2 linked regions of the Rattus norvegicus genome follow. The main gene of each other region encodes a partner of the protein of the gene in region 2 in a complex. Links are inferred from orthologs where the notes say so. Each region holds a gene or a part of one and is shown on either strand. Other genes may lie near its edges. The genes, in order: Polr2b and Gtf2a1.

The links.
Region 1: Gtf2a1 (region 2) and Polr2b share a complex: the UniProt entries of both Homo sapiens proteins name them as parts of the TBP-based Pol II pre-initiation complex. The link is inferred for Rattus norvegicus from reciprocal best matches to the Homo sapiens genes GTF2A1 and POLR2B.

What each region holds. Positions count from the first base shown.
Region 1 is NC_086032.1:31,151,572-31,166,885, forward strand, and holds part of Polr2b (DNA-directed RNA polymerase II subunit RPB2), read right to left. Parts: intron 14,439-15,314; coding exon 14,240-14,438; intron 13,708-14,239; coding exon 13,539-13,707; intron 10,757-13,538; coding exon 10,660-10,756; intron 9,759-10,659; coding exon 9,664-9,758; intron 8,047-9,663; coding exon 7,796-8,046; intron 7,716-7,795; coding exon 7,626-7,715; intron 7,422-7,625; coding exon 7,314-7,421; intron 5,869-7,313; coding exon 5,755-5,868; intron 5,208-5,754; coding exon 5,047-5,207; intron 1,058-5,046; coding exon 862-1,057; intron 226-861; coding exon 136-225; 3' UTR 1-135. UniProt on the Homo sapiens protein: Catalytic core component of RNA polymerase II (Pol II), a DNA-dependent RNA polymerase which synthesizes mRNA precursors and many functional non-coding RNAs using the four ribonucleoside triphosphates as substrates.
Region 2 is NC_086024.1:116,238,088-116,253,401, forward strand, and holds the start of Gtf2a1 (transcription initiation factor IIA subunit 1), read right to left. Parts: upstream 14,134-15,314; 5' UTR 13,691-14,133; coding exon 13,661-13,690; intron 13,618-13,660; exon of another isoform or gene 12,441-13,617; intron 12,423-12,440; exon of another isoform or gene 12,105-12,422; intron 11,011-12,104; coding exon 10,909-11,010; intron 1-10,908. UniProt on the Homo sapiens protein: TFIIA is a component of the transcription machinery of RNA polymerase II and plays an important role in transcriptional activation. TFIIA in a complex with TBP mediates transcriptional activity.

The sequences.
Region 1 (15,314 bases), on a different chromosome or scaffold from region 2:
AAGCATGCAGAGCTTTAAACAAAACAAATAAAATTCTTATTACAACAGGAAATTTTGTCATTTTTTTTTTTAAAAACGACAGTCACCGAAACAAGATACTGCTGCTCACAGTATCGGACCATGAACTTCTGACCACTAAACACTCATCATCCGTGGTGCGATGCTCATGGACATGAGCTCCTGGAACAACAGCTTGCACGCATACGGCATTCGCACCAAGGAGATCTGCAGAGAGGAGAGGCAGAGTGATAAGCAGACTCGCAGCAAAGGCTCCCCTTCCTCCTCCAGAAAGGCTAAGGCTTTGGCACTCCTGGTGGACGAGTGAGCTGTGAGCACTTGTCCTAGGCTCTCCTCGGCAGGCTCTAACCAAGCAGGCTTTGTCTGCTCCTCCTTTCTGCTAACACAGCCAATATTCATCTAACCGACACATTTCAAGTGAAGCTTAAGAAACTCTTGGTTGGCTGGAGAGATGGCTCGATGGTTAAGAGCACTGGCTGCCCTTCCAGCACTGGCTGAGCCTGATTCCCAGCACCCACATAGCAGCTCATAACCATCTGTAACCTCCACCCGATAACCCGACCTCTGTGGGTATTGCAAACACATAATGCACTGACACACATACAGGCAAAATAACCATAAGCATTATTTAAAAACAAAGTTTAGATTCCTTACTATTTCGGAGATGAATAGCTTTGTGAAATTGCTTTTAAGCTTGATTTAGAAAAGTCAAACTATCTTTCTTTGTCAAACTAGTATCTTGGAGACCTGCTATCACAACTGAAAATCCCAGCCTATTCCACTACACTAAATCTGCCATGACTACTGCCTAAGAACATCATGTAGGATTAAGTGTGCACACACCTGGGTCTTATTGCGGCATCCCCTGCATTCGTATGTGTGAGTCCTGGTGTTAGCAATTGCCATTATTCCACAAAGATTACAAACGTGAACCTGATACGGATCTGATGCTTCAAACAGCCTTTCTCTTAAGAACTGTGCTGCACCATGTGCGATCTGACAGTCTCGCTCCATTTCTCCAAAGCGCAGGCCACCATCACTGTTGATAAGAAAACAAGCTTATTTGTACTCATTTATTTTGAGTATATGTCAATGCCAGACACGCACATGTGTAGCGGTCAGAGGACAGATTGCAGGAGTCTGTTCTCTTCTGAGAATTGAACCCATAGCTAGGCTTAGCAGCAGCACCTTTACCCACTGAGCCACGTCACTGGCCCTGAACCCATCCCATCTTTTCTTACAAACAGCACTCTGACGAATGACAAGAGCAGCAGTAGTGCAGTAGTGCACAACTAGGTCCTGACTTTTATGCCCTAGCGATCTCTAACCTGGTGAGGAGGGGAAAAGCCAAGCAAGCCTTTAGTGTACTTCAGAAGGTCTCCAAATGAAGTAGACAGAAAACATAGCATATGCGTTTCCTCATCAAATACACTGTGGTACAAAGACTCACTGTACCATCATTTAATGAGTTCAGTCCTATACGTGAACGTGCATTTAAGAGGTCAATCTCAATAGAATACCCTCTCAATAGGGGATCCCCAGCCATGGAGCCTGAGGGGAAGAGTGCACAGTGACACACAATGGAACAGGTGAGTGGGACAGGTTTCCCAGGGGAGGCCATGCATTGAGATGGCCACACAAGAGGGATGTTGGCCTCCATAACGTAGCACATGCATTTGTGCACACAAGCATTACTGAGTAAAGCCAATGGCTTATACTGTTATTACAACAAAAGGCTCACTATTCAGCCTTATACAATACTACATAATGAGTAAGGGCTACAAGGTAAGGAGCTGAAGTCACAGCCTTAGAGGTCGGTCTAGCCAACAACAGACAGACAGGTAAGAACTAGGCTCTCATCCATCTGTACTCTAACTCATCAAGGCCTTCCAGTGACTAGCAGCTATGAGACGTGAAAAGGAAGGCTACAGATGGTACAAGTCACACGTGGGTCACTGGGCGCCAACAAGGGACCAAACGGTAGCTCTGAAAGTGTAGTAAGTGCTTTTAGCCACTGACCCTTCTCTGAGCCCTGATTTGTTTCCAGTGTGCTCATGCTTACGACAGAGGTTGTCAAGTTACAGCCTGTGGGTGTCAGGAAGACCAAGCTACACTTATAATACAGCGATACTCCTCCTTCTGTCACTGTGCTGGCACCCACACTGACTGTAAGAAAGCAAATAAAACTATCCTTAGGCAAATAAATGCAGGCAGAGGAACCAAGCTCCATAAGCAGTGACAGTTCCCCTTCCATGGAGAAGACCAGTTTTACTCCAGCAATAACACCAATTATGTTGATTCAAACTTTGTTACAGAACAAAGAAATGAAAGGAACTGAACAAAGTCAACCTTTTACTCCAAGGAAAACAATTAAGGATGTACTACAAATGATTAGAAATTTGAACTTCTGAGCAAAAATTAGAATTTTACAAAATTACCTGCTACTTCACACCCCAAGTCTTCCTATACCTAAGTGTTTTCCTAAGAGCATCAGTAGAGAGAGAACAAGTGTGGGTTTTTTTCTTTTGTGTGGAATAGAATTTAACATTGGAAAAATCTGTATAATTCAGTGAGTCTGTATTTCCTAAATGATTAATTGTGATGCTGTACAGCTGTGCATTCGACACACAATTTGGCAGAGGGAACAAGCCTGAACTAGGACCTTGCACATTAGCCAAGTACTCTACCATTAACGGGCATCCAAGTAAGGCAGTGATTTTAATGTAGCAAATTCACTGATGAGGCTTTCAACTTCTCATTACAAGTAGCGTAAAATAATGAAAAGGCTAACCCATTCTTAGTCTGGCTACTCTCTGGCCCCGGTGGTCTCACCACCTCCATGACCTCCAAGCACCCACGCTATCGCCTCAGGGCACCAGGAGGCCTGGCCTGCTCTCATCTGGGCAGGCTCTCTGACTCAGGGCTCCAAAATCTCTCCACCCAATTCAGTTCCCACTCTCCACCAACTAAGTTCCCATGGCGTGGCTGGCTGGGGTGCCCCGCCACCGTATCTTTCTCTGGAACTCAGGTGAGTCACAATATGAAGGAAAATACCACACAATCTTAGTTTAGAATCCACGGGTAACACAATTGTTGGGTGCAACAACTAACATCCTAATTTGTACACCATTTTAAATTAAATCCTCTGGTGGCAAATCCTGACAGATCCGCAATCTAAACCGGGGCCTCTTGTCTGCTACACCTTGTCTTCTCAGCTCTCCCCGTCCAAATGCACTAGACTTGGAGAGATGGTGGCTCAACAGTCAAGACCATGTGCTGCCTTGCAGAGGACCTGAGCTCAGTCCCCTGCATCCACTCACAGCTCGGAACTGCTTGTAACTCCAGTTCCAAAGGAGCCCACACCCTCTTCTGGCCTCTGCTATCACCAACGTGCAAGACAGTGCACACAAATATATGCAGACAAAACTCCCATACACTTTTAAAGTAATTAAAAAAAGAGAGAGAGAGGGAGTAGGAGGGAGGGAGGGAGGGAGGGAGGGAGGGAGGGAAGGAGGGAGGGAGGGAAAGGAAGGAGAAAGGGGGGAGGGGGAGAGAGAAAGAGAGACAGAGACAAAAGAGAGACAAAGAAATGTTTAGCTGGCCTCATGCCAGTATTCACACCATTTGAGAGGCTGGGGCAATGCCAAAAGTTGAAGGACATTCTAAACTACAGAATCTTTTATTCAGTCTCTCTCTCTCTCTCTCTCTCTCTCTCTCTCTCTCTCTCTCTCTCTCTTCTCCTCCCTGCCTGCCTCCCTCCCTTCATAGAGAGAAAATAGGAAAAAGAAAAAGGAAATTACAAATTCTCAAGCACAGTGTACAGTGGTGCAGGCTTATAAGTGAGGCCTGCAGTGTGAGCCTCCTGTAGGAGGCTGAGGCAGGAGGTTACCATGAATTCAGAGTCAACCTGGCCTTCATAGTGAATACCAGGTCATCCGGATTATATAAAAACATACTGTCACAGGGTCAAAAAATACTGGCTCAAAAATAAATGAAAATAAAGATTTAGAAAGGACAAAAACTAGAGTAGCTCTTCATTTTAGTATAGCAACAAAAAAACACCATTCTTCTCTTTTCCAACTGTATCTGTCTATGTGACATCAGAGCTCTCTCAAACACTTTAAACACCCGAGCTCCCTCAAATACAATACTGAGCTAATGAGCTGGTTCAGTGGGTAAAGGTTCTTGCCAGGACCTACGTGGCGAACGGAGAGAAGCAAATTCCTACAAGTCGTATCCTAACCTCCACACTCACACCATGTCACCTCACACAGTAGACAAAGGTAATAAAAACATTCTCCTCAAACACAACATTGATCCTGTGTGGTGGCACACACCAATAATTCCCAATAATTCCAACCGTGTGGAGGTGGAGGCAAGGCACAGCTGTGTAACAAGAGTCTATCCTGTGCTATTATGAGACTCTATGGGAAGAAAGAGTGAGATGAGGAAGAGAGGAAGGGAGGTGGAGAGAGAGGAAGGGAAAGGCAAAATATTGCAATGGAATTAATTCAGAAGTAGAAGAGTCCAGGTGCCTTCTAGCTCACAAAAGAAATTTGCAAAAACTGTAAGCCAATGAATGTCACCTTTATCACTAAGCTTACTTAGAAATATACCGACTTTTCATTAAGCATGTACTAATACGTAATGGTTTTGCCTCTGCTTTTAAATCAGTATTTTAGATTTCAGTCTAATCTCTGCTGTCATGAAAAGCATAGCTCACATGAAGAAAGGTTCTCTGAGGGTCCAGAGATCAGAGGTGATAGCCACTCTTGCATAGTTATATCCAAAGGAAACTGCACGACCACTGGATCTGGTGAACACAGCAGAAACAAGGTGGGGTCTGGCTCACTGGAAGAGCAGTTGCCTAGAATGTTCACAGCCCTGACTTTAAGGGAGAAACTGTTCAAGTGAGGATCAGGAACACAGGCAGTCATCACACCACTGCCTCTACTTACACGTGCTTTACGCTTTCAAGTGAATGGCTAGTTAAACAGAACACAAACGCCACAGCTGCAGCTCCCTTACCGCGATCTGCCCTCCATGGGCTGTCTGTTAAGAATCTGAATGGGCCCCCGAGCACGAGAATGAATTTTGTCATCCACCATATGCTTCAAACGCTGGTAGTAAGTGGGGCCAATAAAAATCTGCGATGTGATTTTGCGACCAGTGAATCCATTGTAGAGCACCTGAAAACAGAGATTTTGTCACACATGACTAAAAATGTAACAAGCTCAGAAACGCATGTGCACTTGCTCTGTACTGCTATTTACACTAAAATCAACCCAGCTTACAATGAGACAGCACTTACCTGGGATGACAGGGGAGACTAGAAGGGACTTTCAGGGTAGAAAAGCATTCTGGGTGATTTCGTTTCTCAGTGTAGGTGCTAGACTCAGTGTGTTTACTTTGTGGAACTTCATCATGCTGTATGCTTATGACTTGCACAACTGAATGGCTTTTTTTTTTTTAAAGATTTATTTATTTATTCCATGTATGTGAGTGCACTGTCACTGCCTTCAGACACACCAGAAGAGAGCATCAGATCCCATTACAGATGGTTGTGAGCCACCATGTGGTGCTGGGAATTGAACTCAGGTCCTTAGGAAGAGCAGTCAGTGCTCTTAACCACTGAGCCATCTCTCCAGCCCGGCTTTCTTGTATATATAAAGTACACCACACAGAACATGGTTGTTACATACAGGTCAGAATGTGCTCTTGTGATAGCAACTATACCTCATTTCCTCTGAGATGGTAGCCGTAGTCAGATAAAAGATTAGAAATCTTCTGCACATTGACAGCATCATTAAACGGAGTAGCATCACCAATTTCACCCTTGTTCGCAGAGACCTTTAGAATGAAAGCAAGTGTGAGAGAAGTCACACATCAATAAAGATATACCCGATTTAAAAATGTTTCCTATAAAAGGCAAGATTTTGAAATTAAAAATGGTTATAAAAGTTGTGTGATACTGATATGCATTTTTTAAATGTTTCACCTAAGATCCTTGTAACAAAGTAATTGCCTAAAAAGAGAGGCTAAAATGCTCTCCAATAGAAGTCTGTCCATGGGACACTATTCTACTTTAACAAGACACCCAAATCCAGAAAACTTACCCTGAAAGATAAAACACAGCTGATACCAAAATTTAACATTTCCTAAAGCCATACTAAACCAACTGTCTGAATTAACTTATCTGTAGAAAAAAGCTGCTGCTATAACCACAAATATACACAAAGGCTGTATGTGCTGTATCTTACAAATAAATTGGTCTTGAGCCCCAATGGTACAATTGGCTAGCACAAGTTACTCAGGCAAAAATTCTTTCTTGGCAATTTTGTGTGTGTGCAAACATGTGTGCTGGTATATGTATATATGTAAGGGAGGAATACACATCCGTGTAGAAGCCAGAAGAGGGCATCAGGTTGCTGGTTAATTTGTCAACCAGAAACAAGTGAGAGGCATCCAGGAAGCAGGAGCTGAGCTGAGGAGCTGCCAGTGGACTGCTCTGTGAGGACCTGTCCTGATTAGCGTAGGTATACTAATGAGGGCTCAGTGCACTAGAGGGCTACCATCCATGAGCAGGTGGGGTCCTGGGACAACCAGACAACAAACCGGGCAAGCCCCGGGCACCGGGATCCTGCATGGCCTGTTTCAGTTCCTGCCTTGAGTTCCTGCCCTGACTTCCCTTCACGACAGGTAAGACTGTAAGCCGTGGGATGAAATAAACCCTTTCTTCCCTATGTTGTTCTATCACAGCAACAATCAAAAGCTAGTGCATTAGGTTTCTTGGTCCATCGTCCTCATACCGCCTGAGACAGGTCTCTCCTCCCTGAACCTGGAGCTGGGCCAAGCACAGTGACTCTTCTGTCTCATACATCAACGCACTGGGTTACAGCCTCTTCTCACACACACTCTTTGTATGTTTAATTCATTTACGCAGAGATCGGAAGTCAGCGTGCAGCATCACTCCTGTCCTTGCAGCATGGGGATCAGGTCTGAAGTCAGGCAGCAGGCTTGCTAACATTTTCCCAGCCCCAGGTATTACGACCCTTTAATGAATAAACAGGTCATCACGCTTGCACAGAAATCCCCCTATCTACTAAGCTATCTCCCTAACCACCCAGATTGCTTAAAAATAAAAAAGGATGAAAACGTGGAATAACCAATCTGAAAGCAGGAAAATATCATATTTGCTTTTAATCAACTATCTTGGCTCAATGATCAGAGAAATGCTCACCAAAATGAAAGACACATCAACTTGGAACCTATTGTTTTTCAGGACAAAATCTTACCTTCCCTTGGAGACATTCAATCAAGTGACCAATCGTCATCCGAGAGGGGATGGCGTGGGGGTTTATGATGATGTCAGGAGTTATGCCTTCACAAGTGAACGGCATGTCCTACAAAGAAAAGTGTAAAAAACTTAATAGACAAAGCTAGACAGACCTGATACTGCCCAAAGAAAAATATGAATGCCCTAATTCTTTGTCAACATGATGGGTTAACAAACACTAACATTTCAACAACAAAAAAGTTACAGGAAATTTTAATTAATCTTTCAATACAACTCTGAGTTAGGCAAGAGAAAGACTGAAGACACCTACCTCTTGTCTATACTGAATACCACAAGTACCCTTCTGACCATGTCGGCTAGCAAATTTGTCTCCGATCTGCGGAATTCTAACAGAGCGTACCTGGTTTCACATAAAAATGGGTTAGAAACTGAAATGCAATTATTTTCTAAAATGATCTACATGAATTAAGCCACACTCACCCTTATTTTACAAAATTTATATCCTTCCTGGTTGAGAGTGACCATGACCTGGTCCACAATGCCTGTCTCACTGGTTCTGAGGAAGGTGCTGCAGTCCCTCTTGGTGTAGCGCCTGTTGGTGCTCTCCAGCTCATCCTCGTTCTCAGGGAGGGTGACCGTTTTGCCTATAATAACATCGTCTCCCGACACTCGGACCCCTGGCGCTATCAAGCCATCATCGTCCAACTTGTCATAAATGGCATGCCTCATGCCTGTGGAAACAGATGGGGAATTTCCTTACATGACACTGAGGAAAAATATTTAAAATGCTACTTAACTCCCCCAACACACATGAGAAACTAAATACATAACTCTGTTCCACAAATATTGTTCATTGTTGTCCTTATTCCAAACTCTGCACTCTGATATCATAGTTTATACCTGGGCATGGTAGCACATGCCCTTAATCCCAGAGCTCAGGAGGCAGAGGCACATGGATCTCTAAGAGTTTGAGGCCAGCAAAGGCTACCAATCAAAGACCTTGTCTCAAACTGGGGGTGGGGAAATAGCTCAGCAGTTAAGATCACTAGCTGCTCTTCCAGAGGACCCAGGTTTAATTCCTAGTACCCACAAGGCAGCTCATAACCATCTGTAACTCCTATCAGATGTCTTCTTCTGGCTTCCAAGGTCACTGGGCATATATACAGGCAAAATACTCATACACATAAAATAAAAATGATTTTTAAAAAAGAAAATAAATTTACTAAGAAAAACAAAAAACAAAGCAAACAAACAAACAAAAAAATGGAACCGAACAGTGGGAAGTCAGTTTCTATGGAGAGAGACAGTCCATAGTGTGTGGCCACTGTCACATGAGGAAGAATGCCTGGGTCCTACACATACATTATCCCACAGAAATCATGAACTATGCTAACCTCCCACCCTACTCCCAATACAGGGTTTCTCTGTATAGCCTGATTGTTCTAGAACTCACTCTACAGACCAGATTGGCCTTGAACTCAGAGATTAGAACTCAAAGATCCACCTGCCTCAGCTTCCCAAGTGCAGAGACTAAAGGCACATGCCACCACCACTGCCCAGCCAAGTAGTGCATTTTAATTCCACTAAACACTGACTTAGTGCTACATAGAGCCAACCAATGGGAATACAGTAAGAGAAAGAACTTAGGGAAACAGAGGACACTACACCTTCACACAATACTATTAGGAGTCCATTTTGTTCATGCCTGCCAGCTATTCCACACTGTTACTGTAACATGCCTGCCAGTCACTGACTCAGAGAAGTGACTTGGCTCAAGGACATGCTGACCACATACCCTGTTTTGTTCTGTATGAGGTCTGCTAATCTTAAAGAAATTCCACAATGCTTTATATAGAGCCCATTGAATCAAAGGTCAATATGAATTGTTACTTCTAAAAAGACTTAAGTCAGAGCTGATCACCCAGCAGCTCTTCCTGCACCTACCCTGAGATCACTGTGGTTTACATGGTTGACACTGAAGAATGCTAAGAAGCCCAAAGTTATGATTATAATACTCATGTTCTGTTATCTCAATGTCCTGAAATTCGCCTGTTCACCACCCATCCTCCATCCCCCTTACCTTCCCTCAGAGCCAGTCAGCTTGAAGGTCAGCTGACAATACTTTGCTTAGTAGGCCAACTGCTCCCTCCTTGCCCTTTAAACTCCCGTACCAGGTTTTTCCTATAAGAAGCCTGCCCTGAGAGCAGACTAGTACTGCAATTGGGCTCCTGAGTCCTTTCTGCAGCTCTTGAGCATTCAGTATCAAGGCGTGCACTCAATAAACCACTCAGTATTTGTATGCTTTCGGTGGCAATTCCTGGACCCCACGAGACGTCACTGTCTCTTACCCTGACATGTTTCACGTGTAGGCTTCTCGAACACTTCTTCTTGATCAAATCCTTTTTTAGACTCTTGTTCTTTGTATGATCGGTAGAAAACAGACCTAAAAACAGAGTTCTAAAGGTGATTCATAATTTTCTTTCAGAAAAAAGGCTTAGATTTACAGCAACGGTGTTTGGCTTAACTGATATTTGAGAGGCAATGTGAAACACAAAGCAGGCACAAGGATCACTATGTTCTAGGGTCAAGGTTCAGTTGTAAATAGGCTTTGCACATAGCATCTGATTCACACATGAGATCAGGGGGCCCTAGGTAATTAAGTCCATCCTCCTACTGACAGAAGTCCTCCTAACAGCCCAGAGCACAGCCACCCTTCATCTGCTCAAGTATGCCCATAGAGGCAGTTTTACATGAAGCTGTGACGTCCACGCTTTAGTCCTAGTGCTGCTTTCTAGAATTACACAAGGAGAAAAAGTTCCCCTCTAAATCCCCGTGGTTCAAAGAACCGCCTTATGCTGCATGTTTAAGATTAATTGTGTGGTCAGTAAAAAGGAGAAGAACGGGAAGCCAAATGTGGTGGTGCACATTTGTAATCCCAGTTACTCAGAAGACTGAGGTGAAAAAGTACCACGAAGTCAAAGCCAACCTGGACTACATTGTAAGTTCAAGGCCAGCATGAACTATATAGTGAGACTGTCTCAAAAAACGAACAAGAATATAAATAAAACACATTCTAATTTTACCAGTAGTTACCTCAGACTTCTGTTTTTTAATTTCTTCCTTAGATGTTTCTGTACTATCCAGATGCAATTACACACTTGCTTACAGTAGAAAATATCACATCTACAACCCAGAAGCACAAGACTCACTGCCTGTAGCTGCATGGCCGCCAGCCAGATCTGCTTCTGGATTCGCACAGTCGAGCTTATTCTTAAAAAACTTTATAAAAAAAAAAAATGCAACCCACTACATCTGTATTTCAACAAATTTGACCAAAAGCTGACCTGAAAAAGCCTCGATCCACAGCTGAACGATTCATGATAACAGAGTCTTCTTGATTATAGCCCGTGTATGATGCAATGGCCACAATTGAGTTGATTCCTACAACACATTCAAAACACACAGTAAAGAACCATCAGGGAAGCAGGGAAACCTATCCTTTCATTGAAACCCATTTTCTTCAATCATTTGTCACAAACACTTGGATGTCGTATCATGGAAATCGCTGCTGTCTACTCCTCCCTGAAGCTGTGTGTGAGGCAAATGCGCTGCTAACTTAACCTGAACCCGTCATTCCCAGGGAAGCCGTCCTTACTATCACATGAACCATGTAGCTCTGTGCCTTAAACAGAACAAGCTTTATTATTCTCATGACTCAAAGGTAAGAACATATGCCCCAAAGTGAATTAGCCTCATAATTTTTAATTTTCAATATGAAACCAACTCCACCCTGCCACTCTCTCCCCATGCCACCACAGTGTGACACCATCTTCCAGGGCACAATTAATCCTTAGTAGCTGCTGCCCTAACTACTTTAGCTGACATAAGGCTAGGTGTGGAGGCAAAGGTCTATCACCTGACACTCAGGGGAGGCAAAGGCATGAGGACCACATTAGCTCAGGAATATGAAAACAGCCTGGGCAACATAGGACCATCCCATCTTTAAACAGCATAGGGAAGGAGGAGAAGGGGGAGTGGGAGGCAGAGAAGGGGCAGGTGGGGAAGGGAGGGAACAAGAAAAAAAAGGAAGACGGTGAGCCCACACTATAGCATTTGCTGTACAAGCCTGTCAAACTAAGTCTGAGCCCAGAACCTATGTAAAATGGGAAGAACTGACTCCATAAAATTGTCATCTGATCTATATGCATGGCACGGCACCCATGCACAGTTATAACTAATAACAAGAGATTGATTTATTGTAAGGAACTATGAAGCCCAAAGTCGTATTCCCAGCACTAAGGAAGGGTAAATAGGAAAGTCAGCCTAGGGTATATAGTGAGCCAGCTTGGAGCTACAAGAAACCTTTTCTCAAAAAAAAAAAAAAAAAAAAAAAAAAAAAGGAAGGAGGAGAAGGAAGATTGGTAACAGAATACTACAGTAAACTAAAGCATTAGAAAACATTCTAACTGAGTACGACACTAGAAGACACAAAGACCTCACACACAGTCCGTGAATTAGAAGGATTAACCCTTGGAGATGGGTATCCTACCAAGGAAAGCTGCCAACAAAGCCCCTAGTGCCACTCTGCAGGTACAGAGAGAGCAAGCACAAGAGACCTCAGACAGCAAAAGCAGTCCTGAGCATAAAAATACTGCCTGACTTCAAATTATACTGCAGGGCCAAAGTAACAAAACAGAGGGCACATACTACAGCTACCTAATTTTTTATTCGTTTTGTTAAAAACAGAGTCCATCCTGTAAACCAGAATGATCTAGTACTCAATGTGTAAACCAGAATGATCTAGTACTCAATGTATAAACCAGAATGATCTCGTACTCAATGTGTAAACCAGAATGATCTAGTACTCGATATGTAAACCAGAATGATCTAGTACTCAATGTGTAAACCAGAATGATCTAATACTCAATGTGTAAACAGAATGATCTAGTACTCAATGTGTAAGCCAGAATGATCTAGTACTCAATGTGTAAACTAGGTTGGCCTTGAACTGCGAGAGATCTGGAAGCCTCTGTATCCTGTTTGGCTAACGTCCAGCTAGCAGTAGAGAATTGATTCCTTCTCTAGCCTCTGTGGGCACTGCATGCTCATGGTACAGATACATACACGCAGGCAAGACATTCACACACACAAAATTGGAATAAACAATTCAAGGACCTCAACATAAGACTCAGAAACTGTTACAGGAAAACTGTGGAGAGTACACTTCACCATATAAGCTTAAGTGTGGCTTTCTGAATAGGAAATCACTCAGGAAATTTGGCCAATAATTCCCTGCAAAGGGAACTGTCAATCAAATGAAGAAACGGAAGAACAGGAGAAAATCTCTGTAGCTCCACACTCAGCAGAGGATTTGAATCCGATCTAAAGAGACTAAACATTAAGGACACAAGCTGAACGGAGTTCTTAAAGAGAGAAATACGATGACTAGTAAACATCTGAGCGTTGAACACCACCAGACACCAGAATTATGGAGATTACAAGCACTCTGAGATTCCCTCCTGCTCCAGTCAGAAGGGCTATTCAAAAAACACAGGAGAAAATGCAGACGGGGATGTGAGAAAGAGAAACTCTATTTGCTGTTATCAGGAGTGCACCCTGGTACAACCACTGTGGAAATCAGTGAGGTTTTTTTAAAAGCTGAAAGTGTAACATCATATTTTAATAACCCATAGAATCCAATATCTGCTGTACATATACTTATGGATGTGGGGCCATTCACTCAAGTAAGGTACCAATAGCCACACCCTTAACAAAACCTGATTCTCCCTCTCGGGGGAGCCATCAACTCCAAACCTCCACTTTTAAAATAATACTCCAAATTGCTCAGGCTCTTTCCACACCATGAGAACAAGCTTCAGTCACATATAATGATGCTATAGCCACATACACTGGCATGACCTAGTCCCACATCTCACAGGCTCCCAAATGAAGGCCTTTGCTCAAATTCAAATATCTCCTTTACCAATATCATTCCTCCATAAAAGCAGCTCTACCTTCCAAGAGGAATCAATCATTTTGACAGTGTACTTCAATTGGACTTTACACCTAACAACACCCTTTGCACACATCCATTCACCCTTTTAATTTCATTTGTGTTTCCCACATTCTAAAGTCTGCAAAGCGGTCACTGTTGTGTGCGTTTTTAATCTTCCCCAGCCCTTCTCACTGAAGTGTCTTATGCATGGCAGGACAGCTGGCATACCTGCTGGCAGTTCTCTAAACCGGAGATACTCCATAGACCGTGTAGTCACAAGGGGCTTCTGAGGATAGTAGAGAACGTGCGCCAAGGTGTCCATCCGAACGTGGAAGTTGGTGATATAAACTCCCATAGCCTGCTTGCCCATAGCAGACTGGTACGTGTTTCTAGGGGACTAACGGGAGAAACAAAAAATAAAGACAATGAATTTCTCAGACAGGTAATAACCACTATGGCTTTCAACAAAAACAGGAGCAAGAAAACTGGTGGTGAATGGGAAATGCCCCCAAGTCGGCGATTTGAACCCTGGCTCCCAGGGAACAGTGCTGTTCCCAGAGGTTCAGGAAGTGTGGCCTTGCTAGTAGAAGCACATCACGGGGACCAGCTTTGAGTTTAGGGGCCATGCGCTATCCCCCACCCTGCTCTCTGCTTCATGCTTTGGGATAAGGATTACTGCTTACTATTCCCCTGCCTCTGCTCCTCCAGCATGGACTCTTATCTCCTCTGGAAGCAGAACCCAAAATAAACTTCTATCTTTAAGTTGCCTCTGGCCGTGGCATATTACCACAGGGACAGAAAAGTGACTAATACACAAGTCACACAGCGGAGTCTGTAGGTGCTCACACCCTGATGAGATGACATACTAATCCCTAGTACTGATTACTTCCCCGATTCTTTACAAATCACAAGACAGAACTACAACCAACCTGGTTATGATCAGGAAAAGGAATAATAGATGCACAGACGCCAAGAATCATTGATGGGTGAATCTCACAGTGGGTATAGGTGGAGCAATAAGCTACTTCTTTCTCCTGCAAATCATCTGGAGTCATTGCAAGCATCACGGTTTCTTCTTCCAGGGTATCAATATACTCTACTACCCCACTGGCTACCAGATCCTGCCAACTAAAAAGTTCACTCAGTGTCATGAAATAACTTAATACAAAGTCTACTGCTTTACAATTACTTCCATTTGTGTTTGTACTAACAAGGAAAGAATTCAGACATGACTGTTAATGTGAAAAGGCTGCCGGGCTATACACTATTAGGCTGCTATTCACCTTGTTTTAAACAGCTATACTTGTGGGCTCATAGTTACAAGAGCACTGGCTGCTCCTCCAGAGGTACTGAGTTCAATTCCCAGCATCCACATGGTGGCTCGGGGATAGGATCCGATACCCCCCTCTTCTGGTGTGTCTGAACACAGCTACAGTGTACTCACATACATGAAATAAATAATTCTTAAAAAAAAAAAACTATACTTGTGAAGTAAGGATGGAAAGTAGATAAAACAGAATAAGGTCTTGTAGAATACATATATCCACCCATTACTCATATTTACTTGTGAAAAGAACATTATGAAAAAATTATGACAAAACCAGCAAATATGAAGTGAGAATGCTCACTCTTTTACTACACGTTATTTTACAATATACTTATGATATTATTTAGAGTAAAATTTTAAAACAAGCTCATTTTTTCTAGCATATTTCTTATTTATGCCAGGAGTGGTAGCACACTATCTATATTCTTTGTACTCAGGAAGTTGAGGCAATAAGGATTTCACTGTGTGTTCCACATCAGCCTGGCCTATACGGCAAGAATGTTCCCCCCAAAATATATTAGTCCCATTATATGGACATGTTCCGCACCACACAGGTTATTTACCATTACATTTTAACACACCAAAGACTTTCACACCAATACAAATCACGCAAGTCCACTGTACAACTAATAACAAAAACCAGGAAGAATAAATATGGCCACAGATGGTAGCATTCC
Region 2 (15,314 bases):
TTGTAAATTTCTTCCATTCTAAGAAATAATACAATCCCACACACACACACATGAATTAACCTTTCTTACCCAAGTTTTATATAAGGAAAATAAACCTTAATCAGACCTCATGTTTATTATGCTGAAGAAATTTTTTTTACATTCCAAGAAACTTTCTAGAGTAATTCCTCACCTCAGTTGTCAGGTATTGTTAACAGAGTTCCCAGAGTCAATCCCTGAATAATCACAGCTTATCTTTTTACTTTTTATTTCAAAATCATTACGTAATTGCTTTTATGGAACTTTGCTCAATACAAATTTCCTATCTCTTCAATAGGAGTCAACATGAGAACTATTCACCCATTTGTCCTTAATGAGAATAATGAGAAATAAAGGCATTCTAAATTAAGACAGGTCAACTTCCTTCTGTTTGTCTAACCTTGATGTTAAAGAAAGTGATGCTGAAATGGTCATCCCAATCCTCTCTCTACACCTCCTGAAATGTCCTTTCTCCCAATATGGACGACTGACATTCACTTTCTGCTTAGTCACTTCTATAGGTTGAACATATTTAGTCTAAAAACTCAAAATCTGCAATGTTCTAAAATCTGTACCTTTTTGACTCCTGACAGGATGTCACTACAGGAAAATTCTACCTGATGAAACTTTACTTTATGTACAAAAACCATTAAAATACTATGCAAAATTAACTTCTAACAATGTATAAAAAGGTGTATGTGAAACATAAGAGAACTTTTACTGCTTATTATATGCAAGTATTTCAAAGTCTGAAAAAAATGCAGAAAGACAACATTCCTGGGTTGCTGATTCCTTTCAGGTTAGGGATACCCAATTTGTACTTTCTTATTTCACCACACGGTAAATTCATAATGGGAGGAAAGGGGAGGAAGAACCACCCAAAAGAAAGGAAATGAAAACATTCCCATAACATATTTGCTTTCTCCTATGTTTATTGTTTAGAGTTTCACTCCTATAAGAAATTATCTAAGAAAGTAAAATTGTGCCTCTAAAATGCAAAGAAACAATTTGGTCAGTTTTACACTAGTCCATCCGTGTATGCATTCTGTTTTTAAGTCCAGGATCCGCTCTTGAGATACTGCTTTGCTAACTCAGAGCTCTGTTTCCTCAGGATCCTTTCAGAGGCTCCTGTACTCACAGACTCAAAACAAAGCAAAATTCCCCTCGCCTTTCCCTCTCTACATGACCTAGATTTATGACAACCTGCTCCAACAGTCCCAGTGTCTTTCCAGCAGTGTTCTGAAGAATGAAGTAAGTCAGGTTCACAACAGAACTACTTCCCTAGCAAACCCGATGCTTAAAGGCCTGAAATCTGTACTTAAAACAGTACTAACCTCCACTCACTCATGGCTATGGGAGCTTAAAGTGAGTGGTCACTGAGCGCTCGCTGTTATTACTAATCCAATAGTGGCTTTAATTAGGTAACAGCATTACATCAGAGGCTGGAAAACCAGTTAATCCTGGTTTGTCTACTAATGTGACTCAATCGTGTAACATTCTTACACATTTCCTCATCTAAAACTAAAGGGAATTCATTTAGATTATTGTTAAACTTCTAGCCAATAGAGGCTTTTACAAACTTCACACTAAAAACAACTTCCTAGAGCAACAAAGTAGTACTTCCTAAGAGTCCAAATTTTATCTGGCTGAACTCTGCGGAGGGGGGGGGGGGGGGGAGCAACTCCCACAAATTATCACCTAACCTCCACATGCACATGGTGGTATATACACATGTGTGTGCAAACACACAGACAAAATACATTTTTTTCTTAAAATCAAAATCAAAATATAAAGTAAAAGAATAGTCAGTGTTTAAGAAACTTTTTTAAGCCAGTCACACACCTTTACTCACAGCACTTGGGAAACAGAGGCAAGTGGATGTCTGAGTTCAAGGCCAGCCTAGCCTACATAGTAAGTTCCAAAGATCCTCCCCCAAGAGGGGGAAGAAGTTTTACAGAATAATTTTCTAACTGAGGAGGTGATGAAGACAATCCAAACTAGTTCTTAAAGTACATTTTCTAACAATGTCCAATATCCAACCCATTATACTTTTTCGGTTTTTTTTTATTGGATTTTTTTTTTTACTTACATTTCAAATGTTATTCCCTTTTTCCAGTTTCCCCTTCATAAACCCTTATCCCATCCATCGCCTCTTCCCCTTTTTCTTTAAGGGTGTTCCCCAACCCAACCACCCACCCTTTCCCATCTCCCACCCTGACATTCCCCTACACTGGGGAGTCCAGCCTTGGCAGTACCAAAGGCTTCTCCTCCCATTGGTGCCCAACAAGGCCATCCTCTGCTACATATGCAGCTGGAGTCATGGGTCCGTCCATGTGTACTCTTTGGATGGTGGTTTAGTTCCTGGGAGCTCTGGTTGGTTGGTATTGTTGTTTTTATGGGGTTGCAAGCCCCTTCAGCTCCTTCAGTTCGTTCTCTAACTCCTCCAATGGGGACCTCATTGTCAGTTCAATGGGTGGCTGCAAGCATTCACCTCTGTATTTGTCATGCTCTGGCAGAGCCTCTAAGGAGACAGCTCTATCAGGTTCCTGTCAGCATGCACTTCTTGACTTCATCAATATTGTCTGGGTTTGGTGGCTGTATGTATATGGGCTAGATCCCCAGGTGGGGCAGTCCTTCAGTCTCTGCTCCAAACTTTGTCTCCCTATCTCCTATGAATATTTTTGTTCCCCCTTCTAAGAATTATTTGTGTGTATGTGAAGACATATCACTTGCTTGTGGGCTGTCCTCACTAACAGAAAAGGGTGTAGGTAGAATCCCCCTGGAACTGGAGTTACACGCAGTTGAGCTGGCTATAGGTTCTAGGAAGTGGGTTCTAGGAACAGAGCTCTTACGTTCTGTGCTCAGATGACTGAGCCATCTCTCTATAGCCCCTCTTTACTTCCCTAAATTCAGTGTTGTATTGTTATTACCATCAGTTGGTTGTGAGCCCATCATTCCAATGAATATTGGCTACATGTAATGAGCAGCTAAGTACATAGTCTACTCCCCTACTTTCTTCTGTCAAGGACCTAGCAATCAAAATTCAGAACTGAGAAGGTTTACAGTGTATTTCAGTAGTAAGAGTGCTTTCCCGGTTAGCATGAAATGAGAACCACAAATCCAGAACCATAAGAAAATAAAAGGAAGAAGGAAAGGAAAGGAGAGGAGAGGGGAGGGGAGGGGAGGGGAGGGGAGGGGAGGGGAGGGGAGAGGAGAGGAGAGGAGAGGAGAGGAGAGGAGAGGGGAGGGGAGGGAAGGGAAGGGAAGGGAAGGGAAGGGAAGGGAAGGGAAGGGAAGGGAAGGGAAGGGAAGGGAAGGAAAGGAAAGGAAAGGAAAGAAGAGGAGCTGGCTGCTACACAAGAGGAGGAGAGCTGATTCTGAGGTGAAATCCCAGACTTAGGCTATCGTCAGATTAAGAAGTGAGCCACAAGCCATTATAATAAATTGCCAAGGTTATTTTGTGATGTTTGCAAAAGTAAGAATAGTTGTATTAAAATCTAAACCAATGCTTTTCTTTTGGGGGGGGATTTTATATATATATATATATATATATATATATATATATATATATATATATATTTTCATTCATTCTATGTTTTTATTGGGTTATACAGTATACATAAAAGCTTAAGAAACATTGTTTTCTGCACTGTTAGTTAATGGATTAACTTTCTAAAGTTTACAAACACATCTGCTGAACTGTAATAATCTGTAGACTATATTATAGATTATGTTAATTATATTAATCTGCATAATCTGAACATTATGATATATATGTATATAACCTATAATATAATCACCTTTATATCTGTAAAAATAGCCCGCATCCCAACTGGAAGTCTAAAACCATTCTCACCTCAATTATGATTTTTTCCCCCTACATACATACCCATGATAAAAGTTTAATTAGCAAACTATAAACAGTGCAATAAAAGAGAACACCTATAAGAATATTCTGGGATAACAAGCTATGTGATTGTCTCTTTCTCAAAGTACTTTATTGAATGTCTGCAGCTTCTCGTGGGGATATGAAATCCAATATCTATGTGGTAAGATTTAGGTGAAGTACAGACACTTGTTAGGTTATCTAAACAAACACACTATGACACTGCACAGGTATTTCGGCACCTGGGTGGACATTAAATGATTAATGGATGAGTTGCATATGCAGAGTGGATAAGCTGGACAGAGAAATGACTCACAACTAGATACTACACAGCTGACTGGAGAAAGATTTTATCATTCTGGTCAGCATGCACACAACCTACAACTCACAAATTACTGATTTCTGGATTATTTCACTTAATATTTTCCTAACAAAGCTGACTAAGGGTAATCAAAACCTCAAAAAATAAGATAAGGAATCTGGAGAGAATGACTTAGTAGTTAAGAGCACTTGCTGCTCTTTCAGAGGTCGCAGGTTCAGTTCCCAGTTCTCTCATGACACCTCTCAATAGTCTGTAACCCCAGTTCCAAGAAATCCAATGCCATCCCCTGGCCTCCACAAGCACTGAGCACAGCCATGGTACCTACAAGCAAAACACCCACACACATTTCCTTTTTAAAGAAAGACTGTAAAGGGGCAGGAGAGATGGCTCAGAGGTTAAGAGCACTGGCTGTTTCTTCCAGAGGTCCTGAGTTCAATTCCCAGCAACCACATGGTGGCTCCCAACCATCTGTAATGGGATCTGATGCCCTCTTCTGGTGTGTCTGAAGACAGTGACAGTGTACTTACATACATGAATAAACAAATCTTTTTAAAAAAAGAAAGACTGTAGATAAGGGGAAACTAGCAACTATTTTTAAGAACAGCAGCTTAGTCCCATCTATTGCCCCAGTTAGTCAGACTCCTGAGCAGAGGCTTAGTATGGCTTGTTTGCAAAGACTAGCTGCCACTGCAACGGGTACTGTATTTGTTACAATACTGAGCTACTTTCTGCTAAATAACCTTAGGCTACTCCATTGCTCTTAATGTGCAGTTTCTAAAATGAACCATATCAAAGTTCCGTAAGCCCAGAGAAAGGCAGTCTCTTAGACTGGGCATGCTGAGCCATGTCTTCAGTGCAGACACAGGAGAGGGGCAAAGGCCAGTGTGTCTGTTTCCAAGGCCACCCATTCGAGGGTAGGGGGTGTTGGGGGTGGGAGGGTGTTACCCCATGTGCTGTTAGAGATAGTTCTACTTTTGAATGAATTCCTTCATGAAGACATTATTTTACTTGGGACTTAACAGGTAACTAGGAATTTATAAGCTATTTAGTATTAAATTTAAAGAAAGATTGTAAAAAATAATGTTTATTAGAATTCTGTTTTCAGTATAGGATACTACTGGCATTTTAGGCTGAGGATATCTGTATCATACGGGATGGTCCCACAGGAAACGCAACATTCCTAGTCCTTGCCTACTAAACGACAAAGGTGTTGGCCACTCCTGACACATGAACATGTCCACATCCTGCCAAAAGCTTGGCAGGGGTTGGGCCGTCCATCAAGAATCAGAACTCAGGGGTTGGGGATTTAGCTCAGCGGTAGAGCACTTGCCTAGCAAGCGCAAGGCCCTGGGTTCGGTCCCCAGCTCCGAAAAAAAAAAAGAATCAGAACTCAGCTTCGTAAACGTTCTAGTAACTTAATGAACACAGAAATAATACCATATAACTAAGCACCAAGCTTATACCTTCAAATAAAGCTGGATTTACCCACTCAATATTTATCTTTTACTTTCATTTATTAAAAAAGGTTCGTGCATCTAACTGCTATGCTGGCGTGTATGTATGTCTAATGCGCACAGAGGTCCGAAGGCATCAGATTCCCTGCAAATGAATTATGGATGGTTGTGAGCCTCCACGTGGGTACTAAGAACTGAGGACAGGTCCTCTGTAAGAGCAGCAAGCGCTCTTAACTGCTCAAGCATCTCTTCAGCTCTTCAATTTCACTTCTGCACAATTTTAACTTGATCAGAAAGTTCTAGGTCCTAAATATCAGCTGTTAAAATGCTACTCTGCTTTGGCAATAGTAATTGTGCTGGTAATGCTGAACTAGGGATATAGAATTGTTAAGCATTTCTTTGCTTAAAAAAACTGGAAGAGCTCTTTTAATTTTATTTACTCCCTTTCCCACAAGTAAAATATTAATTCTGGCACATTCACACTTCAGCAATTTTTGCCTAGGTATCTAAAATTGACATGACAAAAATTTAGCTTCTGTTCCCCAAAAGTCTGAGACTGTATGTGAGATGATCTGGTAACTACATTTTATTTAATTCTATTGAAATAAGCACACATGTAGACATTATCACCTCCTTCTTTAGAGAAAAGGAACCTGAAAAACGAGTAGTTAAGCAAGTTCTCCAAGACGAGCAAATAACAGAAGGCAAAAGCAGGATAATTACATGGCTGAAGACTAACTCTGTGTCTCTGAGCACCATGCCTGGTACTGCCCTTGCCTCGCCCTTCTCATTTCACCAGTTCCTTCCTCTACTTTCTGTTTCACTTACTCTTTGGAGAAGCTAAGTTCCCTAACATCTTTTGGAAGCTCTGAAATAAAATCAGTGTACACTTTATCCAGAAGCTAGGTACTTTGCAGAAACAGGAACCATTCAAAATCTCTAATCCAACACTGCTGGAGAATGGGCACTTCACAGTTTGAGTACAAGGTAAATGCTGACCATCCTTTGTCAAGGACACTTAACTAAAAGATGGTAGAAATGTGAATGTAGGTCTTTTATCTCATGGCGCACACAGGCTCTCATATTGCCACTACCTACTAGCTAAACACTCTTGTCAAAGGACAGAAGCAGGTAATTATTCAATTTATAGTTTAGGTATTTATATCAATGTATTAAGTATCTATGTATAATTAGGGTGTATTTAGAAAAGTGGTTCTCAACATGTGGTGATTTTGCTACTTCTTCCTTAGGGAGATGGGCAATAAAGCCATCTCTGAACACAACTAATGGGTGTAAGTCAGAACTGGCAGAAGTCAGTCAGTTGCTAACATTAGATATACAGCTGTCAAAATCAGTCCAACGTCAAATGCACCACAGCTGAGGGACTAAACTAGAGGCATAGAACCTCAATTTTCAGATTCCTCTCTAACTGAGGAATCCATTTTATCAGCATGAACGCAAAGGGTTAAGGATGTGGCTCACTGGCATAGCATTGGCCTAGCTTGTACAAGGCTCCCAGTCTGATGAAGAGCAATGTAGTGTGGGTGTGGGTGTGTGTGAGTGTGTGTGAGTGAGGGGGAGAATGGAGGTTCGGAATCACGCAGTTTATATATTTGCTATTTAGATATATAGGTAGGCCTGACAGGTTGGTTTTATCATTCACTTTGAGTTTTGCTTTTACAGTGTTTTGGGTTTTTGGTTTTCTGAGACAACTTCACTACGTAGCCCTTACACAGTACCATTTCTCCTACCTTCCCTTCCTTATTTGCTCATTATTTACTTTGAAGAGAATTTCTAAAGTGTCATTCCCATCCAGTTCCTTGCCAATACACATTCCAATTAAATATGGACAATATTTATGCCTTCCCCCCAGCTCCCATAGTTTAAACACGCCTTAAGTGAGTTCTTAACACGTCAGGAACTGACTTAAATAATTGGCTAGGTTTGTTTTAGTTTTTAAATGACATTTCTGACAATATCTAATTAATCTTTAAATTATATGCTGCCTCACTGTGCATCTCAGTTCATAATCTAATTACCACTGTATCTGATAGCCTCAGCAACCTTGATAATCTGTGAAACAGTTAAAAAAGGAGCTCACTCACAAAGCCCATTATAAATCATAAAACACACAATGGATGCTAACCTTGTGAGCAAGAAAATCTGAATAGCTCAATGTGGTAATAATCACTAACCACATGTAGTGATTTAAATTTAAATTAAATAAAATTAACAAAAATGTATTCCTCAGTTCTTCCAATCACATCCCAGATGCTGCACAGCCACATGTGGCTGCGCAGATGACAGACACACACTTCGGTCACTGCAGACAGTCCTGGGCAAGGCTAGGGTCTACCTGTTAAATCTAGGGCACATTCTGAAAATTCTAATGAGGTCCTGAAATTTAGTGCAGAGAATTAAGTTCATTCTGGTCTAACAGCTTTAACTCTTATTACAACCCAAGTGTGTGCCCCACTTAACAATAACAAAAATAGCATTAGTAAGATTCAGAAGCCACATCCGAAATTAAGCAGTTCAGCTAAATATTTAACTGAGTGCCAGCTACATAGGCCAAGTATTATGGTAGAAACTGAAGATTAAATGCTGAACGAGTTACTTTCAAATGTCAGAAACACACAAGTGAAGACACTTGATTTTTCCAAGACAATTTAATGTCTTTGAACAGCTATAGGGACCAGTCAAAAGACAGAATTCTCCAAACTGTCAACCGACAAAGCAAGAGAAAATAAAGATCCCAGATTGACCCATACCATTTCTATATCTCTAAAAAAACTTTATTCTTTACATAATGTTACAGAGAAGACAATTACGGAGTCCAGCAAAATGTAAAACATTCCCCAGTGCACAAGGACGAAGGTAAGCTTGTCTATTTAATCTTCGTATAATTTAGACATCTATGCTGTTCCAAATCCCAAAGGAGGCATTCTACACCTTTATCTTTAGGCACTCCATTTCTCTCCCTGTAGGGAATAGTTTATTTCCTTATTCTTAATGTACTATAAATACTCTATGCTGTTCCACGATCTTCCAACTCCTATTTCATAAGAGGAATTCTAACACTTGTATCCTTGAGTATTAAAAAATAACTTATTTCCCTCCAGGTAAGTACTACTCATTTCACTAAAACTTAACATTTTTTTCCCTTTCTTACATTGGCAATATTCTAGAAGTTGTCCACAGGTGCTTAAACATATTAAGACATATTTCATCACCACAATAAAGCTCAGACTTCATTTTAAATGAGTGCTAAATTCTAGCTTCCACATCTGAAAGGAAAAGACCACAGCTATGCCCTAAGGACGTATTGGCTGTGATGACTTGAGCACAGCTCTAAAGAAGCTGCTCCCGCTTTCTAAACCAACAGTTACTGCTTCTGACCTCAGGTCCATTTCTCTCTTTTTAATTTATTATTTCAAGTTTTTTGAGGTGGGGGTTGTGCACATGCCAAAGCACAAGTCAAAGGACAACTTTAGAAAATCAGCTTCTGTTCCTCTATCTCTTTCCAAAAATGACTGAGCACTTCAAAAAAATTGGGATACTTTTAGTGTTAAAATTTTAAAATGAAAAGCCTGGGTTTGTATAAATGATGCCAACTTTTCCAGAATTAACTGGGAAAAAAAGCTGATAAAAATGGCATAAAGAAGCTGGATTTCCCATCTGCCTCTCCATTTCAATGTTGTTTTGATCGAAGGGTAGAAAGAAAAAATTCTCATATAGTTACACAACTGAGAAAGCAAAAGATATTTTAAAATATTAAAGTTCAACAATATATAATCTCAATCTGCATACCAATGAACTTTTCATTACTAAGAGTAAAATCTATTAATATATCTTGTTCTTTGAATGATCTTCCGACAATCATTATAAGTTATGAAACCTTCCGAATGTTTACACATTTGACTAAACAGCAGAGCACACATTTTTAGAACAGTCTCCGCACAGTAAATATACACCTAACGCAGCGCTGCTGCACAGGAACAGAATCTAACAGAAAGGCATGGTAAGTGCTGTGCACTTAGGCTGCTGAACTGAGGTACTGACTTTTCTCAGTGGACAATTTTTGTATGTGTACATGTGGAACCTTCAGAAGGATATTAAAATGACTTCCTCTATCTCTCTCCGCCCTTGCTTAGAGGCTGGTCAATAACGCCTGGGATCCACAGTCTCAATCCCCCAGACACTGGGGTGACAGGCACATGTGGGTCTCATACCTGCCTTTTTTTATGTGGTGCAGGAGATGTGAACTCAGGTCCTCTTAACTTCAGAACAAGCACTCTTACTCGTTGAGTCATTTTCCCAACCATACAAGATGCAACTTTTAAATGAAAGAATAATAAACTATGAAATTTTCAAATTGGGTACTTAGTCTAACTAGTACAAAAATACTCCACACTTTCACCTCATTCTACCACCAGAAAACACACATGCTGCCATGTGTATGTGTGCTTTGCCCACATGAATGTCTGTGCACCATTTGTGTGCTGATTAATGCCCATGGAGGCCAAAAGAGGGCACCTCCTGGGACTGTACTTATAGTCTATTGTGAGCCACCATGTGGGTGCTGTGAATCAATCCCAGTTCCTCTGGACAATCAGCCAGAGCTCTCAAGCACTGAGCTATCTCTTCAGTGCCCACACAAATGCCATTTAAAAAAAAAAATCTTTAAGTATGTCTGCATAATAAACCTAAGAGGAAAAACTAGTTCTCAGTGTATAATACACAATAAAAGGAGCATTTAGTCTACACCAAGGATTTTACTCTAGTACCTACACTTTTTTATTGAGCATTTGTTCAATCCCTCCTTCAACATAAACAAATTTTAAAATACAAATACAATAAAAATACAAAAAAAGTAAATACTATTACTGACATGTCAAGTAAAACAACCATAAAAATCACATGTGAACAAGAAAAGCTATTATAAGCCATTGTGATAGGCAGGCATTCTCTATGCTTACTGCACTTCATCCTGAGAACCACCACCCAGGAGTCTGCACTACCACCTCCAATCTCACAGGGAAGGAAGCTGAATACAAGGTACCTAGCTACCCAAGTAGAGGACGTAGAGACGGCAGAGCTGAAGTTTAAGCCAATACCTTTCACTACACTATATACTGTCTCTCCTTAAAGTCAAACATTCATCATTCGACATCTTCATAGAAAAGTTATTAATACTAAAATATTCTTTTAAAAAGAGACAAACTCACAGTTTTTAGTTCCATCAGGACCTGTTCATCCACTCCATCATCCAGAAAAATGTCTCGGACATCATTAATAACATCTTCAATCACAGATCTATACAATTTAGGCTTTAAAGGAAAAATAAGATTCAATAAAAGACTGATTTCAAAATTTTAACAGGCTTTGAGAAATCCTTAATAAAATATCTAATCCTTAAATACAAGTCACTGGGTCAATTATCTAAATCTATTTTAAATTGCGACTTTAAAGATACTGCAATCCTAAGTCAGGCTTAGCACTCTTGAGGCAGAGACAAGAGGATATCAGAGTTCCAGGGCAGCCTGACCTCTACACAGAGAACCTGTCTTCGAAACAAAACAAAACACATATTTTGTCCTTACTAAATTAAATTTTACAGTGACATATTTTATAAAAGTGTAAGGCCGGGCAATGTAGTTCATAAAACAAAGTTCTTTATGCAGACAGGATACACAAATTCCAGTTCTAATTTCCTTGATTGTGACTAAAATTTCTAACATCATAATTAATAAGTTTATGGTTACGCCTGGTTCCTACTATCCATGTTTGATTTAACCCTCGTCCCATCTCACAGCCTTTCCAGTTCTTATATTTGGGGAACTCTTTGTTCACTAGTCATCTTCTGGTCATACCCAGCAGTCTTATCCAAATGTGATCATACAAAAATGACCTCAGTTTTTTCCCTGTCCTGGTCTGTACCTTCAAGCTATATCACCAAACTCTACATTGGTCATGTAATTTTAAATTGGTAGGATAAATTTCCAGCAGACCAGAAGTTTCAATATTTTTTAAATCAGTCACCATAAAAGAAATTCCAACACTGAGACACAAAATTTCGTTCTCTTGCTACTATTCAATCATTCAGCAACTAGCCAATAACTTAACCAATTCAGAAGCACTATTACTGAAGGAAAAAGGAAAATGCTAAACTTCACTCGAAGTGGCTTTTGTCTTTATTGAATACAAGGTCATTTAATAAATCTGTCCTTTTAAAACACATTTTCCAAACTTTGAAACTGGCAAATTGGAGACTGCATGTAGCATTATTGGAAGGTTCCTTTTAGAGGTTGCTAATTTTTTGGCACAATATTTGGTAACCTGGGTGGGTTTGACCATGTTAGCTTCTGGTAAAATTAAAACCATTACTTAATCTTTAATTCTTAAAATTCAGTTTAGGCTGTACCTCTTTCTTCACTTAACTCTACATACACATCAATGGATTGTGAGCACAGAAGCTTCAGTCACCGCGAAAAGCTTCATGCCTTGAGTATTAAGAAAACACTACCAAACTCAAGTCCTCTTTGGGGAAACATTTAACGTACAACGCCATTTTTTTTAAAGCCGAGAATGTTGACAGTATCTCTTCCAAGAAAAAGAAAATCATCCTATCTGATCTAAAACGATTTAAAATTAAACTGTATAAAGGGAAGGAAAAAAGAACAAAACGAGGCTGCAATTCTGGCCTACTTCCCACTACAAACAAAGGCAGTACACTCTAGCTGCCACAGCAAAAACACACTCGGGTCCGTGACAACAGCCTCCTGGCTCCGGAGCGAAATTTCGGCGTGAAGGGAGCGTAGAAATAAACTGAACTCCGCACGCCGGCGCCTCTCGCCTCGGGAGCACGCACCTCCCAGCCCCGCGCTCTGCAGCTCTCACTATTTAAAGCCGGATCTGGTGTTTAAATGGAGAGGCGGTGACGTAGGCCTGAAAAGCACCTTCCCATCCTGGCAGAGTCTATATTAGAGAGCGGCAATGGCTCTATATAAACAGGGCAGCCAAAGGGAGGAGGACCACAAGGCGCAGGCACTGAAAAGCAGGGTAAGCGGCCGCAGCCATGATGGATCGACCCGAGTCGCCAACGGTACAGTGTCGGGCGGCCGCAGGCTGTTCTGCGGCGTTTGGGACCGGGCAAAAAACCCAAGAAAACAAACAAAAAAACAAAACAAAAAAATGTGTTTTATTGTAACAATAAAAAAAAAAGGATCAAGAGTTGGGGTGGCCTAGTGATCACATTGCGTTGGTGACTCTTTTTAAAAGGTTATTTTTATGTGACTGCTTTTTGCAAACCTACGTGATCGCAAGTAACCAAAAAAGGGAGCAGCGGGAAGTAGGCAAATATCAAGGCGAAAGCGGGGGACTCTTGGGCCACTCACTGTAGGCTTTGTTTGTTCTGGTGCTTTTGCTAGTCGAGGATACCGCGGGGGTTTTGCTTCCCCTTCGCCATTTTATCCACTGGGGAGGAACCGAGATAAGTGCTTTCCAACCTTCATCTTTTTTGTCTCTTTTTTTTTTTTTCCTTTCGGAGGATTAGTAAAATCGGCCCCAGCGGAGGCTTCCCAAAGCACCACCTCCAGAGAGCCCCCGAAGGCACGCCCGGCCTTGGCGACGTCCAAGAGGCTCCCCAAACGCGGGGCTCGACCCGCGGACGCTCGGGAGGCTGGCCGGGTCCGGGTCCCGCGTGGGGCCGCCACCCTCCTGCCTGCGCCCCGGGGTCGGCAGCCAGGGCCCAACGGCCTGCGTGGCCCGCCCCGCGGCGCTCCCGGCCTCGCCGCCCTCCGCCCGCCAGCCCGCGGCGCCCCCCCGCCCGGCCAGGCCCGCGGCGGGCAGCGGTGGTGGAGGGCGGAGGGGACCGGGTCGGGAGCGCCGCCTCGCCCGGGCCCGCCCCCGCCCGCCCCGGCCGTTGCCTGCCGCCGGAACCTTTCGCAGCCCCCGCCGGCCACCGCACCACGTCCTTACCACGGTGTTTGTGTTTGCCGAGTTCGCCATTTCCACACACAACACAAACAAGAGAGAACGAGATATTAAAAAAAAAAAAAGAAAAAGAAAAAGAAAAAAAAACTGAGACCCGGAGGGTGACCCAAGTCACCCGCAAGAGTGGGGCAAAAATTTCTCAACAAAACCGATCCAGAAGGAGTAAGAGGCGGGAGACCAGGAGGAGGGGGGCACTCCTCCCGCAGCTAAAAACCTCGAGAATCGCCTAAAGGAAAAAAAAGGGAAAAAAAAATAAGCCACGACCCCTTAGGGGGTTAGGGGGCGTCACCCGCTCCCCCACTCGGCGCCGAGGAGGGAAACCAACACCGGTCACCGCTCCCCGCGCCACCGCTGCCGCCACCGGCTGCAGCTCCAGCCGTCCGGTCCGCCTGCTTCTCCCCTTTATATAGCGAGCCAACAAGCTGCGCGAGCCGCCGCCGTCGCTGCCGCCGAGAGACAGGGCGGAGGGAGGGAGGGGCGGAAAGGGCGGGGGCAGCGGGGGGCGGGGCCGAGCGCGAGACACCGCGAGAACCGCGTGCGCACGCGCGCCGGGGCGTCGCCAGGCCCTGGGTGGGCGGGGCCGCGGAGCTGGAGTAAAAGAAGGCGCGCCGCCGCCTTTTCCAAGTCTCGCGTGATCACGTGGTCGGGGGCGGGGGAGCCCTAGCGGAAGCGTTTCGCGGCGGTGGTCCCGGCGCGTTGGCGGGTTGGCCAGGAGGCGTCACTGGACGAGGCTGGTTTATTTAGGGAACCCAGAGTTCGTGGCTACCTAGCAGGGCATCGGGTGGAGCGGAGAAGTGGAGTAGCGGTGGAGGCTACGGGCTCTCCGGAGGATGGCTGCGTACGGACGGCGCGTCACGTGGCGCGGCTTCCGGCTCCCGCGCGCTGGGGCTTGGGACAGTTTTAAATGCGGAGTCATCTTTTGATTCGTAGAGCTTAGGTCGGGCGAGGAGGAAGTTCGCGCCTTTTGCAAAGGATAGACCTCGTGAAGTTGTGTATAAGTCTAAAGGAGAGGAGAGGAGAGGAAAGCTTTGTGCTCGCTGTATGTACCTTACAGAATTAGGAAAGCCTGTGTTCTCAGCTGTTTGTCTCTACAGATTTAGACTACAAGGTGGTTTGGCTAAAATACCCCCGAAGAATCAGCCTCTACCAACTCACAGAACCTTTAAATGACTTCTTAGGGTGGAGAAGAAAAAAACTTGGATACAACTACCAGATTGGGATACACTAATTACTGCTTTTGTTTTTTAATGTTACCAAAGTGCTGTGATTGCACACAGTGACTAACCATATCTGAAACTTAGGCCCATGACTCACCAACTTGCCAGGCCTGTCACAAGAGATCAGGCAGAGTTCGTCGGTGTCTTAGAATGCAATTCATTGGGAATTTGACCTGTGACGTCCAAGCAAATCCCGCCTTTGTATCAATATTTCAGGAAACAGACTCCTGTTCGGTTGGCAGAATTTAACACTGCCACTTTTCCTGGTCCTAGGAATTTGGGGACAAATAAAGTGTAATGTGGACGTGGGAATTTTATATTCAAAAGGCAACCAAACAACGTCATTCTGTGCCAATGAAGCCAAGTAATAATGGAATATCAAAGACCAGTAGGGCAAGGAAAGATTACAGACTGCTATCACC